3 linked regions of the Macaca fascicularis genome follow. The main gene of each other region encodes a partner of the protein of the gene in region 3 in a complex. Links are inferred from orthologs where the notes say so. Each region holds a gene or a part of one and is shown on either strand. Other genes may lie near its edges.

Region 1 (3,522 bases), on a different chromosome or scaffold from region 3:
CTGGGTGAAAGAGCAATAGTCTGTCTCAATAAATAAATAAATTAATTAATAATAAATATAGGCTAACTGAAGGGAATAAATAAAATAATGTTAGGGAAAGCATTTCAAAAAAACCTAAAAAGCGTGATACAGCTGCATGGGATTATAATGAGGAACACGGTGAATCCAAAGATGACTTCTTCCTATTAGAGTTCTCTTTAAAATTGAAGGTTTCAATTTCTCCTCCCACAACCAGAATGGGTCTTCTCTGAAGAAAATAGTATCACTTTTTTATTTGACTGGGGAGAAATGTATGTGGCCCACAATGTTAGCAAAAGCTTCTTTGGAAGAGGTAGTAACCACATTGCTTACAGTCCCCCAAAAAGTAAGTCTTCCAAATGAAAACAAAATCAACTGTTCTTTTAAGAACATTAATTACGGCTTATTTTGAATTTTTAGAAATTAAAAGAAAACTCAAGTAAATTCTAAAAAATGCACCTTTTACAGAGTAAATCTCCCCTCAGAGGAACAGTATTGGCTTTCCTTTTATGTATTCTCGCTTCTCGTTTACAGGAGATTTCATTCTCCAATTACATGGCTATCAAGTAACGGCAGGATTACATTTTTAATAAAAGATCAGGCCGGGCGCGGTGGCTCAAGCCTGTAATCCCAGCACTTTGGGAGGCTGACACGGGCGGATCACAAGGTCAGGAGATCGAGACCATCCTGGCTAACACGGTGAAACCCCGTCTCTACTAAAAAATACAAAAAACTAGCCGGGTGAGGTGGAAGGCGCCTGTAGTCCCAGCTACTCGGGAGGCTGAGGCAGGAGAATGGCGTAAATCCAGGAGGCAGAGCTTGCAGTGAGCTGAGATCCGGCCACTGCACTCCAGCCTGGGCGACAGAGCGAGACTCCGTCTCAAAAAAAAGTAAAATAAAATAAAAAGATCAAACCCTTTGGATTGTACAAATATTGATCACATACACACCTGTACTGGGAGTGCTGGCTCCGATCATCTGCCCCGACTGCTTGTCCATGATAACATAAGGATTATTAATAACAGAGCCGGCAGTGCCTTGCTTCACGTGAACTGGAGTGGAAGTCGGGGTTCGAGGCAATGGTGATGGGCTTGGAGTTGATATTGGGGAACCTTATTAATTAAAAAGGGAGAACAGAAACAAAATACACATATTCAACTCATGTAAGATGTCGAGGACAAGGAAGAAGGTCAGTGCCACCAGGACAAAGGTAACACATTGGGAAAATAAAATGGAACTGCATGCTCCCAGTACTGAGCAGCAACAGGGGTATAGGGGAGGCAGAGGATGTATGCTTCATGCTCTGCATCCTTATCCTTGGACCAACAGCATCAGCATCACTGAGGAAACTGTAAGAAACAGATTTTATGGTCCCATCCTTGACCAACTGAACATAAATCTGCACTTCAACAAGATCTCCTGGTATGCACATTACAGTTGAGAAAGCAGTGCTTTACACAGCAATGCAAAACTGCTGAATCTTTTTTTTAACTGCTGAATCTTGATATGATAAATCTTTTAACACCACAGGCAGGCTGTTATAGTACTGGTTATACCTGAAGACACTAAAATTAGGGAGAAAATTAGTAAGTGCCAGGCGCAGTGGCTCATGCCAGTAATCCCAGCACTTTGGGAGGCCGCGGTGGGTGGATCACCTGAGGCTGTGAGTCCAAGACCAGCTTGACTAACATGGAGAAACACTGTCTCTACTAAAAATACAAAATTAGCTGTGTGTGGTAGCGCATGCCAGTAATCCCAGCTACTCGGGAGGTTGAGGCAGGAGAATCCCTTGAACCCGGGTGGCGGAGGTTACAGTGAGGCGAAATCACACCATTGCCCTCCAGCGTGGGCAACAAGAAAGAAAGAGGAAAGAAAGAGAAAAGGGAGGGAGGGAAGGAAGGAAGGGAGGGAAGGGAGGGAGGGAGGGAGGAAGGAAGGACATTAGTAAGTAAATAGCTAGATTTAAGAAACTTGTGTCTTGTTTTGAATAGGAAAATATGAAATTCACCTACCCAGAGCAAAAGTCTCTGTCAATACTATGTCACAGTCATAATCCAGAAAGATTTGTGTTCTCGCAAAATACTCTCAAAAGTTACTGACACTTAAACATCCTCTACTGTCTTTTATTGATCAAACTTACCATCCATGAACTTCTCTAAACTTCAAATCAATTTATATGTTTGGCCTATTCTACCTCTGAAGTAGTAAATTCCAAAATTTTCCTACCTGGTAGGTAAAATTGCCTACCAATGGCAGGGAGCGGTGGCTCCCACCTGTAATCCCAGCACTTTGGGAGGCCGAGGTGGGTGGATCCACTGAGGTCAGGAATTCAAGACCAGCCTGGCCAATATGGTGAAACCCCATCTCTACTAAAAATACAAAATTAGCCGGGAGTGGTGGTGTGTGCCTGTAGTCCCAGCAACTCAGGAGGCTGAGGTAGGGGAATCGCTTGAACCCGAGAGGCGGAGGTTGCAGTGAGCCAAGATTGTGCCATTGCACTCCAGCCTGGGTGACAAGAGTGAAACTCCATCTCAAAACAAAAACAAAAACAAAAAAAATTGCCTACCAATTAGAAGCTATTTATCTCTCATCAATTTCAAAGATTTGGATCATATTTCTGCTTAGCTGTCTACTTATAACACCAAACATTCCCTTTTCCCCCCTTCATTTAAGTATTGTACAGAAGTCCTCACACTTCCTGGATATTTTCAATTGCCTTTTAACAAATATGTTTTGTTCTAAGGTGGAACAGTCAAAACCATAAAGTATGTATTCCTACTAAATTTTACTTAACATATGTGAAACTGTCACAAGACAAAGGATAATCCAACCTTAGTGAAAAAGACAACTCGGAACTACCTACTGACAATAGGAATGAGTAATTTTCTAATGTGGTTACAGAGAGAATAAAGCATTTCAATTCCCACCCAATTCTAACCCTTAAAGCTTAACTCCACGCCAAAGGCTTCTAAACTTTTTCTATTACTAGTCACTGTGGTTTCCATGTATATAATCCCCAAACACGATTCCTACACTGTAGTTCAGCCATATTTGCTAGCAAACATTTTACCTCTGGTGATTCTAGGAGACAAAAATTTGACCATTTCAGTTTCATTTATTTCCTCCATTCATTTCCATATGAATGAGCTTTGTTTTTGCCTTGTGACAGTTTTGCAATCAACAGCGATAGACTTCCTTTTGTTAAAGAAACACTGCTTAGAAAAACTTGAGAGAAAAAAAGCCACAGTATTTTGTTTTGTTGTTCCAACAATTTTAACATCCAGTCAACTCCACATACACTGTCTTCCACACATCTGCATACCTGACACAATCTTGCAGCTCATGGTGATGGGCTGGAAGGACTTTCCAGGTGACTCAGGATTAGGAACCTGACTTTGTGGCACAATTTTGCAGCTTGATGCTATTGGCTGGAAAGCTGAATTGCCATGAGAACAAAAGGTAACTTTCTGGGATGTTGTCATTTTGGTGGGTGTTCTTTCCAAT
Region 2 (2,991 bases), on a different chromosome or scaffold from region 3:
CGCTGCCTTTAAGAGCTGTAACACTCACCACGAAGGTCTGCAGCTTCACTCCTGACAGTGAGACCATGAGCCCACCAGAAGGAAGAAGCTCCAGACACAGCTGAACGTCTGAAGGAACAAACTCCGGACACACCATCTTTAAGAACTGTAACACTCACCACAAGGGTCTGCGGCTTCATTCTGGAAGTCAGTGAGACCAAGAACCCACCAATTCTGGACACAATAATGTATGTACTGCCTAATAACTGGGGTATTGTAAAGGTGAGGCTCTCAAAAGAGAGGTACTATAATTTCTTTGTAACATCCTAATTGCTGTCCAAAACCAGACCTGGTTTTATAATATTAGCTAACATTTACTGAGCAATTCCCTTGAGACAGACAGTTTCAAACATACATGATCTCACCTCTTCTTCATAACAGTAAGGTAGTTTCTATTACTGTCATTCCCATTTCACAGACTGGGAAATGAGGACAAAGACAGATTAAGTAAGTTGTTCAAAGTCACACAGTCAATAAAGGGATAAAGCTGGATCTATTGTTTATTTACATGAATACTGACATCTTAGAAATTAAGAAAAACAAGTTCATACATCCATTTAAAATTCATTTCAGTCAATAAATTTTTGTTGAATGCCTATTATATGCAAAGTACTGATTTAAACTAATAAACTGGTTAACACCAATGTTACAAATATAAAGTCCTTTTAAAGTATCAATATCAAAATAAATTTTCCTTTCTGTGGTCCACAAAAGAAAAAAGATGTACCAGCACTTTTAAATTAAGTTTTTCAATTTCCAAAATACCTCCTTTAAAACAGAAGGGAATAAATTCCAACAATGCTATTTTCAACACATTCATTATTTAAAAACTTACTGGAATATCTGAAGATTACTTGCTGCAAGCTGGACTCGTGAAAATAAACCTTGACTTCACAGAGAAGTCTACATTGATAAATATATATCCGTTGAATTAATAACAGTGTAAGTTACACATATGTATACAAAAAAGTAAAATGACAAGGATGGAGAGGAGTTTTTCATGGAAGGTGGTGGGTTGCCATGGATTCTGCTTCTCTTGATTTTCTGAGGAGGGCTTGTTTGAGGGCACTAATTTTCTCATCAAGTTCAGCCAGTGAATAGTTCTGCTGTAAACAATAACGACACAAATTGCTGAATAAGATTCTGAAGTATCTTAATGCAGATAAAGTGCCAAATGAACTATAAATATTTAAAATATTTAAAAGCATGATCAAATGGGTTTTTTTCCCTCATGAGAATAATCTTAAACCTGCACAACTATATATGTTGACTATATCATAAATTTAAAAGCATAAAATAACAAGGCTTAAATATTTCTCTTTTCTAATGATTAAGCTCTCCTGAACCTTTTATACTTTGAAAGAATAAGTTTACAAAAAAAAAAAAAAAGCCTGATTATTAGACACTGGAGCCTATTTGAAGATGGGAGGAGGGAGAGGACTGAAATATTGCCTATCGGGTATTATGCTGATTACCTGGGTGACAAAATTATCTGTACACCAAACCTCCGTGACATGCAATTTACCCATGTAACAAACCTGAAAACCCCTTGAGCTTAAGTAAAAGTTGGAAAGAAGAAGAAAAATGCTAATTATACTACTACCAGGAGAAAAAAATCATTTGAGATATCAGCTATCCCTTTTAATAGAAAACTTTCTATGTTGATTACTAAAGTTAACCTGAAGTGGAAAACAGTGAAGAAAACACTCCTTTTGCTTTCCAATAAAAATTGGATTTGTTCAAGTCTATCTATGTGAACACCCTCACTTGCATTAATATTTCTAATTTAGACACAAGTATTATGTGGTGACTATTAGGGGGTAAAGAGAAAGGGAAATTGGGACTGAGTGCTAATAGGTACAGGGTTGGGGCGGTGATGGAAATGTTCTAGACTTAGTGGTGATGGTTGTACAACATAGTGAACATACTAATAGCCACTTTAAAATTATGAATTTTATGTTATGTGAATTGTATTTTTAAAGCAGCAACAAAGTGTTACAGTTTACTACATAAGAGTAACTTTTAAAAACCTGATTATTCTCATAATCAATAGTAAAAAAAGTTAACTTTAAAAATAACTGCTTAAAATACCTAGAAATTCTCTCTTGAGGGATCAACTACAATAATTTACTTCTGGAAAAAATAATTGCTATCAAAAAATTTACTCGGAATTTTTTAAGAAAAAAAATGCTACTCTTAAAAATTAGAAAGTCTTCTCCAACTTTAAATTCACATTACCACTATTAAAGTCTAGCAAAGCCTTATTATTTAAGGTTCAACTAATTAGTAAAGTAGCACTTTAGACAGGGCCAGCTGAAGTCAAACTCTGCCAAACACCCTTTTTGATGTAGATGCTACTAATCAGAAGTGTTCACAAAAGGAAGGGATGGGGGGAGACTGAAATTACTTGAGCACTTACTATTTTTAAGCACTTGATGAATGACACATCCTTGTACTACTAAAAGCAGGACAAAGGTTTTATTTATTTAACCTATCTGAGTCATTCCATGCCCTTAAAAGAATTTTTCTATTCAAGTATATTAGTTTATACTGCCCTTTTCTTCAGTCGTAAATTGTACCAGGGTATGACCTAAAAGCAACCATAGTAGAAACTTTTATTAATAAGAAAGGTATAAAACTAATCAAACTATTTCAGAAACCAAAATGAAAATGCAGTAACTTACTTGAGGTGGTTGAACTTTTCTTCTTTTTCCAGAAAAGCTCTAGATTTTAAAAAAAAGTAATCAACGTTTAAAAAAATCTAAGCATTATTTTTTTCTTTATGAAATACCGTACAAATTACGTACAGCCTTGGGAACTCTGACAGAAAGAAAGCCAACCAATTTACCAATACCAATTATTGTCTGTAACCAACATCCACCTTATATTCTGCAAGTTACCCTCTAAAGAGGATGACATTAACAATATATAATAATAATACTGCAGCAACAT
Region 3 (3,522 bases):
CTGCACTCCAGTCTGGGCGACAAGAGTGAAACTCCATCTCAAAAAAATAAATAAATAAAGGAAAAAAAAAGATACTGGCAGATTTCGCATTCCATTCAGTCATCCACAGACCAGTTTATCATCATCCCATACAACCAGGGTGTCCCTCAGACAGCTGCCGCCGAGTTCCCAGACTCCCATCTCACCCATCAGCTTCCAAAAGCAGGTGTGGTCCTGACAGACACAGGGCTTCGCCCTTTCAGGCACCCGGTGTAACTGACCTCTCTCTGAGCCTCTCTTAAGGTATGAATACAATGGATTTCCCTCATCGCATAACCCATTTAATTTGTTCTGTTAACTCGGCTACTATTTCTCCTCTCCATTTGTGATTGGTTTTCACCCAAACTTTTCCACCTTTGGAAGGGATGTTAGCTTTGGCCACTGTACCTGGTCCAGATTGCAGTGGCAGCAGTCTAGCACGTGTCCCCGCTGACCCCAATCCATTCCCATTTGTATGGGGTGGGGCCACACAGGTATAGACTATCGGCCTTCTGGAGCACTAGGCAGCTATGTTCACTGTTAACCTCATTTTGCAGATTGTGGTGAAGGCACAACCCACCCATCAGGCACTTAAAAATTCTCACACGAAGGCTAAAAAGCATAGTCATAATTTCTTGCTTAGGAACCATGTCATCTTCAGTTTCCAGCATCTTCAGTCACAGCTCTGCTCCCAGGACCACTGATATGGGAGGAATTGCACCAGTGTTCTTCCCCACTCCTTCTTCCCCACATCAGTTGATCCTACCTGTATGTGTCAATTTCTGGACTCCGGATTCTGTTCTGTTGATCTATATGCCAGTACCACACCATCGTGATTACCATAGCTTCATAGTAAATTTTGAAATTGGGAAATGTGAGTTCTCCAACTTTTTTTTTTTTTTTTCCCCAAGATTGGGGATAATCTGGGTCCCATGAATTTCCATATGAATGTTTGGATGAACTTGTCAATTTCTGCAAAGAAGTCAGCTAGAATTTTGATGGGGATTGCATTGACTGTATAGATTGATTTTGTCTCTTTGATAAAGGACTATTGTTAAAGATATCACTTATGATTTAACTTTAATGCCCTCTTTTTTAAAAAAAAAAAAAACAGAGTCTCACTCTGTCATCCAGGCTGGAGTGCAGTGACACAATCTCAGCTCACTGCAACCTCCACCTCCCAGATTCAAGCAATTCTCCCACCTCCACCTCCCACATTCAAGCAATTCTCCCACCTCAACCTCCAGAGTAGCTGGGACTATACGCACATGCTACAATGCCCGGCTAATTTTTGTATTTTTAGTAGACGCGGGATTTCACCATGTTGGCCAGGCTGGTCTTGAACTCCTGACTTCAAGTGATTTGCCCACCTTGGCCTCCCAAAGTGCTGGGATTACAGGCTTGAGCCACTGCACCAGGCCCTTTAATGTCTTTTGTAATGCTTTTGCATTAGTCAAAGGAGAAAATCATCTTGAACTCCTGAATTTGGATTTAGAAAATCAGGTCCATGGCTGGGCACCCTTGCCTGTAATCCCAGCACTTTGGGAAACCGAGGCAGGTGGATCACGAGGTCAGGAGTTCAAGACCAGCCTGGCCAAGATGGTGAAACCCTGTCTCTACTAAAAATACAAAAAATTAGGCCAGGTGCGGTGTCTCATGTCTGTAATCCTAGCACTTTGGGAGGCAAGGTGGGCAGATCACGAGGTCAGGAGATCGAGACCATCCTGGCTAACATGGTGAAACCTCTCTCTACTAAAAATACAAAAAATTAGCCAGGCATTGTGGCGGGCGCCTGTAGTCCCAGCTACTCAGGAGGCTGAGGTAGGAGAATGGCGTGAACCCGGGGGGCAGAGCTTGCAGTGAGCCGAGATTGTGCCACTGCACTCCAGCCTGGGCGACAGAGCGAGACTCCGTCTCAAAAAAAAAAAAAAAAAAGTTAGCCAGGTGTGGTGCTGCGTGCCTGTAATCCCAGCTACTCGGGAGGCTGAGGCAGAGAATTGCTTGAACCTGGGAGCCAGAGGTTGCAGTGAGCCGAGATCACGCCACTGCACTCCAGCCTAGGCAACAGAGCAAGACTCCATCTCAAAAAAAAAAAAAAAAAAAAAGAAAATGAGGGCTATGTTTTGGGGATGGGGACTCTGGCCTGGCTCGCAGGGTGCCACAGCAGCACAAAGGGCCACCGTCATGTCCTGCCGCTCTTTTCCTTACAGGAAGAGCGTTCGCGGAGCGAACACAACTTAGTGAACATCCAGAAGACCCATGAACGGATGCAGACAGAGAACAAGAGTGAGTACCTGGGCTCAGGAGAGAAAGGGGATGAGATGGGGCTGGGGTGGGTATGGCCAGGACTGGGACCGAGGTGGTCATTGTATTCAAAATAGATGTGCATGTATCTGCATATTCCAAAATGCAGCAGGGGGGACAGCTTTCCGTTAATCTGGGTGACCTGAAGAGCTAAAATCCCTCCACTCGGAGGATTCGAAAGGCACTGAAATGAGGCTGTATCTAGGGAACCTTGCCCTGAGAACACAGAAGCACCCCAGTTAGCTGGTGTTTTCTAGAAAGGAGCTTTGTTCCCAGGCGGCCCCTGCATATGCCCTGAGGCCCTCAGGTGGTCAGATTCTGGGGCTGGAGCTTTCTTACTCTGGGTAACTCTGAGAATTGTGTTTTCCTGGGTCCTGACAAATCATCTTCTGTGCGTGTCATGATGGGGAAAAGGTAAGACAGTCCTCTCGCAGATGTAGGGATGGCATTTGTACCATATAGAAATGTGGATTCATGGAGCCTGGGGGTATCCGTCTGGGGAGCACTCCTGAGCCAGCAGAGCTCTGACTGAAGCTACGGCCTCTCTGTGCCTCCACGAGTGTGATTCCAGTGCATGGAAGCAGTGCCATGCTACTGTGCCTGCCCTGGCCCTGCATCCTAATCCCTATGTTTCCTCTGCAGTTTCTCCCTATTACCGGACAAAGCTGCGTGGCCTTTACACAACCGCCAAGGCCGATGCAGAGGCTGAGTGCAAGTGAGTACTGTGCTCCCACTCCCCCGCCGCTCCCTCCTTGCCTCAGGGCTAGGCTGCAGGCACATTTGGACCAAGTCCCCAGCCTGCCTTCCTCCCATGGATAAGCTGATTGCTACTCCCGGCCTCTCCCTTGGGTCCGGCATTTCCTGTCCCACTGCTAGGCCCACTCTTCCAGTTACCTCTGCTGCTAACGCCTTTACAGAAGGCAGCAAGGCGTGAATCAACACTGCCATTTACTGGTTCTGTGACCTTGGCAGAGTCATTAAAATAGGGATATCAGGGGCTGGGTAGCTCAGATCTATAATCAAAGCATTACAGAGGTGATTGGGAGGCCGAGGTTAGAGGATAACTTGAACCCAGGTGTTTGAGACCAGCCTGGGCAACAAAGTGAGACTTCGTCTCTACAAAAAAATGTTTTAATTAGCTGAGCGTGGTGGCATGTGTCTGTAAGCTTGGCTGGGAAGTCATGCTCACATGACCTAAAG

Evidence for each region. Proteins that work in one complex are often made in the same cells at the same time.
Region 1: SGF29 (region 3) and YEATS2 share a complex: the UniProt entries of both Homo sapiens proteins name them as parts of the ADA2A-containing complex. The link is inferred for Macaca fascicularis from reciprocal best matches to the Homo sapiens genes SGF29 and YEATS2.
Region 2: SGF29 (region 3) and MBIP share a complex: the UniProt entries of both Homo sapiens proteins name them as parts of the ADA2A-containing complex. The link is inferred for Macaca fascicularis from reciprocal best matches to the Homo sapiens genes SGF29 and MBIP.

Annotation. Positions count from the first base shown.
Region 1 is NC_088376.1:95,674,079-95,677,600, reverse strand, and holds part of YEATS2 (YEATS domain-containing protein 2), read right to left. Parts: coding exon 3,341-3,522; intron 1,131-3,340; coding exon 969-1,130; intron 1-968. UniProt on the Homo sapiens protein: Chromatin reader component of the ATAC complex, a complex with histone acetyltransferase activity on histones H3 and H4. YEATS2 specifically recognizes and binds histone H3 crotonylated at 'Lys-27' (H3K27cr).
Region 2 is NC_088381.1:104,133,827-104,136,817, forward strand, and holds the end of MBIP (MAP3K12-binding inhibitory protein 1), read right to left. Parts: intron 2,763-2,991; coding exon 2,724-2,762; intron 2,630-2,723; exon of another isoform or gene 2,459-2,629; intron 1,146-2,458; coding exon 1,038-1,145; 3' UTR 522-1,037; downstream 1-521. UniProt on the Homo sapiens protein: Inhibits the MAP3K12 activity to induce the activation of the JNK/SAPK pathway. Component of the ATAC complex, a complex with histone acetyltransferase activity on histones H3 and H4.
Region 3 is NC_088394.1:27,843,887-27,847,408, forward strand, and holds part of SGF29 (SAGA-associated factor 29), read left to right. Parts: intron 1-2,228; coding exon 2,229-2,304; intron 2,305-2,964; coding exon 2,965-3,037; intron 3,038-3,522. UniProt on the Homo sapiens protein: Chromatin reader component of some histone acetyltransferase (HAT) SAGA-type complexes like the TFTC-HAT, ATAC or STAGA complexes.